2 linked regions of the Neurospora crassa OR74A genome follow. The protein of the gene in region 2 purifies or fractionates together with the protein of the main gene of each other region. This does not show direct contact. Links are inferred from orthologs where the notes say so. Each region holds a gene or a part of one and is shown on either strand. Other genes may lie near its edges.

Region 1 (3,752 bases), about 1.1 Mb from region 2:
TGAGGAAAGCATCAGTCATGGGCTCCATATCGACGTGCGGGATGGCCTTGAGAGTGCCGATTGGAGGGCCAGTCACGGTGGTAGAGACGTCAGTCTGCTCGACGGTGCAGCCCATGGGACGGAGAACCTCAATGGCGAAGCGAGCATCACCCTGGAGCGACTTGGAGCCAATGTTGGGGACGGTGCAGGTAGTGCCAGTGATGGCGGCAATGGCGAGAGGGTAGGTGGCAGAGCTGGCATCGCTCTCGACGACATAGGTCTCGGGGTTCTTGTAGGTGCCCTGGGGGATATAGTAGGTGTTGGGATCCTCAGCAGATCGCTGAACTTGCACACCAAACGAAGCCATCATAGCGATGGTCATGTCGATGTAGGGCTGAGAGATGGGCTTACCGCCAACCAGGCGAAGGGTGACGGGCTCGCGGGCGTAGGGGGCGGCCATCAAGAGCGAGGAGACGTACTGGGACGAGATGGTGGCAGCAAGCTCCATAACACCGCCGGCAAGGCCGCCAGCAGCATCAACTTGCACGGGCAAACTGTGTTCCTTCTCAAGGTACTTGACACCGACGCCGTTGGCACGCAGGGCATCAACGAGAGCACCGATGGGTCTCTGCTTCATGCGGGCATTGCCAGTCAAAACAGTAGAGTTGACGTCGGAAGGGTTGCAAAGAGCCGCCACGGAGGTCAAGAACCGAGAAGCGGTTCCCGCATTGCCCAGATACAGAGGGGTCGAGGTAGCCTGCAACTTGCCACCGTTGCCCTTGACGACGAGCACATCGCCCTCTTCCCAAGAGAAGGAGGCACCCTGGAGCTGCGCGACGGCGTTGAGCATGACCTGGGTGTCGTCGGAATGGAGCAAGTTATGAATGCGGGTGGTACCCTCACCGAGAGCAGCCAGAATAAGGGCACGGTTGGAGATACTCTTGGATCCAGGGGGAGTGACGCTGACGTTGAGATCCTTGGGTACACCAGCAAAGACCCTGATGCAAGGCGAGAGAACAATGCGAATGGCGCGGTCCTCGACGACGCTGGCCTTGGGCTCATAGGTCTTTCCGATGGCGGAAAGTAGGACAATCTTCTTCTTGCGGCCCTCGTTCTTCTTGTCAACGGCCATCTTCTGGAGAAGCACATCAACTGGGCACTCCTTTCCGGCAGTAAGCTTGACGATGCGCTTGTCCTGCAGAGAGGTAGGCAGGTCGTAGCTGGCAATGCACTTGGAAAGACGAGCGACGGCGCTGGGGCGGAGGACGCCGAGGAAGCGGGCAAGCTCAGCTTCCTTGACCATGCCAATGGCAACCGCTTCGCCGTGGAGGACCTGAGGAGTCAGGATCGCCTCATAAGCATGACCAATGGAGTGTCCAAAGTTGAGCAAGTTGCGGAGTCCGCCTTCTCTCTCGTCCGACGAGACAACCTCGGCCTTGACGCGGGCCGAACCGAGAACGATGCGCTTGAGGATGTCGCGGATGGGGGCCAGACGGTCGGCCGACTTGTTCTTGGAGCGGACGGCCTCGAGGATGGCCTTTGCGTTCTCTTCGAGGGCGGTGAACTCGTTCTCGTCCCAAATGGCGGCGGTCTTGATGACCTCGGCCATGCCGTTGATGAACTCGCGCACGGGCAGTGTGTTGAGGAAGGTGAGGTCGATGTAGATGCGCTCGGGCTGCCAGAAGGCGCCAATCAGGTTCTTGCCCATGGGCACGTCAATGGCAGTCTTGCCGCCGATGGAGGAGTCGACCATGGCGAGGAGGGTGGTCGGGCACTGGACGAAGCGGACGCCGCGCATGAAGGTAGCGGCGACGTAGCCGATCATGTCGCCAATGACGCCGCCACCGAGGGCAATGATGACGGTGTCGCGAGTGCATTGGTGCGAGAGCATCCAGTCCTCGATCTCGGCCTTGGTGTCGCGGCCCTTGGAGTACTCGCCGGGAGGGATGGCATAGGTAAGAAGGCGGACATCTTGGGGAGCAGCCTTCTCGAAAACGGACTGGAAAGGGGGCACGTAGGTCTTGTAGAGGTTCGTGTCGGTGATGAGGATGTAGGTGGAGGACTTGATGTTCTGGAGGAGGTCCTGGGCGACAAAGTTCAGCCAGATGCCGTGGTCAATGATGATGTTGTCCTTGCCCAGGATGTTGATCCGGGTAGGATTAGAGATGGGCTCAGCCATGACGAAGGGCTTCTGGACCGTGACGGCAGCGACTGCAGTGACTGCGGACGGCGGTGCAGATTGATTAGGAGGTGGTTAGATTGAGAGCCGCATAAAGCCAAGGTGTATGGCGGCCACCTTGCGGGACGGTGGGGCAATCACTGGGTGTTTGAGAGTGGGAGATGGGATGTGTGTGTAAAGGATGTATCAACACGCCTCCCGCATACAGGAGCTTTGTCTTTGGTGGTGAGGGGAAAAAGACAACACGGCAGAGAGAGAAGCTGTGCTGTGCTGTGCTGGTTCGCCGTGACTCAGTTCTCCAGACAAGCATCATCCAAAAAATTGAGCGGATCCCTTGAGGCTCCTTCCCGCTTCCGAAAGCGGAGTGGAGGATGTCGTCAAGTACCGGGGCCGGGACTTATAAGTACCTTATTGGCGTACCTTAACTCAACCCTAACACCAAAGTTGAGTAGCCGAGGTCTTACTGTCCGCCAATCTCGGCCATAGTTTGCGGACAGAGGATGCCAATAAGATACAGAAAACCCTTTCGGTACTTCTCACACTCGGACCCTTTACTCCCCACAGATTCGCGGATGATGCCCCTCCTTTATTCTTCCCGTCCCTTCCACAACTTCAAGTCTCACAACAAAACCACTGCCTTGACTACCTCACTGCTTACAAGTGATTAGTTCTACTTGTGCACGATCTTTGGTTCCTCTTGGATCTGAGTAGCGGTTTTCTCCGCCGACGAGGATACCAGTTTGGCCAGTTTAGTCGTCGAACATACTTTTTTCGCTTTTCTGTGTCTACCTAACCCCTCACCTTTGTTTGCGCTTTGCAACGTCAGAACTATTGACACGCCATGCTCGGCGCCACTCATCGCTAAGGATGTCACGATATGAAGACGAATCACGGGAAGTAAAACATTGGGTATTGCCCGGCTGTAGCTTCATCCCATACCTTTCCTCCAAGTGAACAAGCTCCCACCACCCCCATCCTATTGCGCGATCTCGCGCCGTTCCGCTGATTTGCATTTCCCCGCGATGCTGCCTTCAGCCCTATGAATGATACGGCACGCTCATTATGTCCTTTCTGATCGCGAACCCTTGTCCTGACCACTCGCCATTCGTGACCACACACCATCCGTCATGCTTGAACGCGTACTGGCTCGCGAGTCTGGACAGCTCTTGCAAACGGCTCATAACAACCCAACGAGTATCCGTGAACGAGGAACGCGCGATCACACCCTACGTGGAGCTCCCATCAAAGTTCACAAGTAGAGCCGCAGGCTAGAGGTAGCTAAACAAAGCTCATCTCTACTCGCGTCTCTTGATTGGTTGGTAACCCATGAATGTATGTATCGGGCCTCGTCTCTAACGCCATTCACCACTGCATTGACCATAGACAGAAATGGCTAAACCGGCTATCTCCCGATTGTAAAAACCACCACGCCCGTTGGCCTAGACACTGATTCCCTTGAGATGATGTAGCATCAACGCCATCGGCTCATCCAGCTTGTGAACAAGTTCGAAGCCACCTTCTGTCCTTCTTCGGGGAGCATCGGGGGCTTGCAGACAAGGTCTAACTCAATGACTCGGTATTTTTTTCTTGCCTC
Region 2 (3,752 bases):
AGAGACGGGCGAGACCTGGGTGGAGCCTACTGTTCCTGAAAAGGAGGAAGAGCAGCCATCGTCACTAAACGGACAACCCAAAATGTGGGAGTTTAGGTGGACAGATGGGAGAGACGGAGGAGGAAGCCAAGGGCCGTATGACGGGCCCACCATGAAGGCATGGCAGGATGCGGGATACTTCAAGGAGGCGGTTGAGTTCAGGCCGGTGGGCGGAGGGGAGGGGGAGTGGTCTAGGGTTGCAGCCTTCGTATGATCATCATGGTTAGGTTTTGTACGATTGTGTGTGATAGTATACCCCCGGTTCCAAGCGACGAGAGAATCAAAAGCCTTATCACCATGCTGGGAACTCCTCAGCAGCTGGTCGTCATTCGTCCCTACTATGCCCTTTCCTGCTACCCCACGCTTCGACTTTGATTCGATTCGTTGTATGATACAAACGGATATTTGCAGACTCCATGCCATCACCATAATCAGTAACATGACAAAAAACCACGACTAGGCACACATAAAGCTTAAGAAAACAGTGTTATCATAACAAAGACGCCTTTTTGATGAGCCATCCCAATTAAACGCCTAGACGAAACAAAATCATAACCCCAAGATTATTCATTAATCCTTGTAGCGCATTGTCCCATGACTGTTTAGCTGCTGGTATCCATGCTATCACCACCAGCCGCAGTAGCCGCTGGCTCTCCCGTAGCACCGCCATTGACACGGAAATCGACCACGCCATCACTGCCGATGAGCCTCTTCTCCGATTCCTGCACGAACTTGACGCTCCTGGCAGGATCGTAGAACAGCTTGAAGCTGCGCTGGACGTCCTCAACGCCGACCTGCTTGGCCTTCCTCTTGGCGCAGATTAGCTGCGACGTCGTGATGAGGTTGCTCGCATACCGGAGGCCGGCCTCGGCGCCGATCTTGGTGAGCAGGGCGAGCGCGTCGGGGGTAAGGTCGACTTCCTCCTCCTGAGCGCGAATCGTGAGAATCTGTCTGAGCTCGTCGGGCGTGTACGAGTGCGTGTTGATGATGGAAATGCGGTCGAGGAAGTCGAGCGGCAGGCCGTGGGGGCTCTTGTAGTCGGTGCCGCGGATCTTGGAGTGGCCCCGGTTGCTGGCCATGATGACGATGGGGGCCAGGTCGGACTCGAGTGCGCGGTTGATGTACGAGAAGCACTCGATGTCGAGCATGTGCACCTCGTCGATGAACAGAACACCGGGCACAATCTCGGCCTTGCCTTCTTCCTTCCACTCGGCCACCTTGGTGTTGATCTGGTCGCGGATCTCGCTGCGGATCTCGCCCGTGTCGCCCGAGAAGAGGGCGAGGAAGCCTTGGGTCCTCGAGTTGATGACGTCGATCTCGTGCAGCGTTACTGTGTGGACGACCTCCTTGCGCTTCTGTAGCTCGCCATCGGGGCATTGCAGGAACTTGGTGTCGACGCCCATGGCATCGTAGTCGCGCGACCTTGCGTACGATCGGCCCAGCTTGGTAATCTTTCCAGATGACTTGTCTATCGAGATAATGTCGCCGGCCATGACGCGCTCCTTGGTCATAGCATCGATCATCTTGCTGCCCATGTCGTAAATAGCTTCCATGTCGGTCGTCTTGATCGTAAGCTTGCCCTGCTTGGCGTGGCCGGTAACGCTCCGGTCGATCTGAATCTCCACCACCTCACCCTCCATGATCTCACTCTCTTCCTTGATCCTGACACCAATCGACTTGCGGAATGCTTGGGTGAGGGCCTCGGTCTTGGACATCTCTAGAGAGTAGATTTCGGAAGCGGCAAGGGTGGTGAAAGGGACGTCGGTGCCGAGGGACTGGGCCATACCCATGGCCAGAGCAGTCTTTCCCGTACTGTTGTTTTTCCATAGCTAGGTCAGTACACGAAACGGTATGCGCATGAGGACTGGCACAGCAAGACGAGCTAACCTGGGCGGACCGGCGATCAGCACAGCACGGCCGGCAATTTTCCCTTGCTTAATCATCTCAAGAACGACAGCAGCCGCCTTACGCGCCTTCTCCTGGCCGACAAGGCCTTGGGAGGCAACCCTGGGCTCGAGTGTATCGGCATCGACGCCCAACCCGCGGATGTGCGAGTGCGCTGCGATGAGGTTGAGACCCCGGAGGTCCTTACTCTCTCCGACGGTAACGACCTGCTATGGCATGGGCACAAGAGGTCAGCTGGTGTTCCGTCAAGGTATTGTGATGTTGGGGGGTAGGTGGGGAGCTTACAGCAGCCATATTGCCCACTGATTTGCAAGATATTAATATTGAATATGCCGATTGACGTTACAGAATTTTCCAAGAAAGGTCGCTTGGATTTGGGTATCACGGTGGGTGGGTGGTGATGGATTAGTTTGCAGGTGGATGCAGGGATGGTTTGGCAGTGAATGATGGAATGTGCTTGAAAAAGAGCGAGAAGTACGACGACGGAAGTTCAAAGCTGCAGTGCGCGTCGCCGCGCGCTGTGATGGAACTTTGCAGCGACTTCTCCAATTGCGTGCATGGGTAGACAGGCCGGGGCCTCCAGCGAGTGGTTTGTTACCGAGTTTACGTAACAATACGTCGACTTACACGCCACTGTGGCTGAGGATCCAAACGGTGACAGAGAAGGGCGGAGACTTGAAGGAACTGAAGACAGTCCTCGGACTTGTGCCGGCGGGTGGGACTGAACCTTCCCGGGCGCGGCCCTGGGGGTCCCACAAGGCCCCGGATTTTAGACCCACATCGGAATTCGATTGATTGAGCTGATCATCACAACACAAAGCCTCTTTGTCCAGCAGTCAATTTGGAAAGAGAACTAAGCAAGTCGGACGACCTGTTTATATACAGATGGAAGTTCTTTGAAAAGGCAACAGTGTTGGCAGGGGTTCGTGACTCGGATGCAAAAGGGAAGAAGATGCAAACATGCAAAATAAACATGGACGCAAGTAAGTAGTGTAGGTAGGTACGCTACTCACTGGGACCTGAAGCTAGAAGCGGCCCTCAGGGGATTCTTGGGTCAGGAGACTATATGTGAGGCATGCTGTCATCCTCCTCAACCCAGGCTAAGTGTAGAGGGACATAGGGTACCAATGCAGTGGATGTTTGATTGGAGCGAGAATGAAAGAGCTGAAGGAAATAGTAATACAACTTGAAGATATCAATAAGATAAATGTGACGTTCGGCCAGTCATACCTACATACTATGACTGGCCATTGAAGGGACAGAATGACAAGGGTCCGTAGCGCCTTCCTTGAGTGTACAGGAGAAGTTTTGTGACCTGGGAGTGGAAGAGCTGCAAATCTGCAACTCTGCTACCTTGGGCTCATTCATAGTAGTTCCCCAGAAATATTTAAACCAATTTCCCCACCCAAATGGCAGACACTTTCCTCTTTTTTTTTTTCCCCTCTCTCTTCTCCCTAGGACATCTTCGACGATTGTAAACCTGGCGTTCCGGAATGCATTCAGAACTATTAGTTCGACTGTCCATTTAGACAAGGAACAGAAAAATACATCAGCTTGTTGTATCTTTGTGCGGCAAGCCCTAGTCTGATCTCATTCCCGTCTGGAGGAGGTGCGGGGCCTCTTAAAACTTTGACTCTATCTACGCGTCTACCCGCATCGGTATCGCATTACAATCTTCAACCTACAATATTGAACATCGACACACATTTCAGGCTCAATTCCGACATTGACTGACGTCGGTCTGTACCGCTGGCACAGGTCAGCCCCACCATTGTCACAATTACACTCTCGTCTTATACCTCGCCACA

Evidence for each region. Proteins that work in one complex are often made in the same cells at the same time.
Region 1: the proteins of NCU06854 (region 2) and aro-1 purify together in Saccharomyces cerevisiae (affinity purification with mass spectrometry; 3 studies listed by BioGRID). This does not show direct contact. The link is inferred for Neurospora crassa OR74A from reciprocal best matches to the Saccharomyces cerevisiae genes RVB2 and ARO1.

Annotation. Positions count from the first base shown.
Region 1 is NC_026502.1:2,891,113-2,894,864, reverse strand, and holds the start of aro-1 (pentafunctional AROM polypeptide), read right to left. Parts: upstream 2,461-3,752; 5' UTR 2,159-2,460; coding exon 1-2,158. UniProt on the Saccharomyces cerevisiae protein: The AROM polypeptide catalyzes 5 consecutive enzymatic reactions in prechorismate polyaromatic amino acid biosynthesis.
Region 2 is NC_026502.1:1,746,348-1,750,099, forward strand, and holds NCU06854 (RuvB-like helicase 2), read right to left. Parts: upstream 2,468-3,752; 5' UTR 2,239-2,467; coding exon 2,230-2,238; intron 2,154-2,229; coding exon 1,927-2,153; intron 1,852-1,926; coding exon 642-1,851; 3' UTR 254-641; downstream 1-253. Other genes in the region: NCU06855 (hypothetical protein), read left to right, coding at 1-253. UniProt on the Saccharomyces cerevisiae protein: DNA helicase which participates in several chromatin remodeling complexes, including the SWR1 and the INO80 complexes.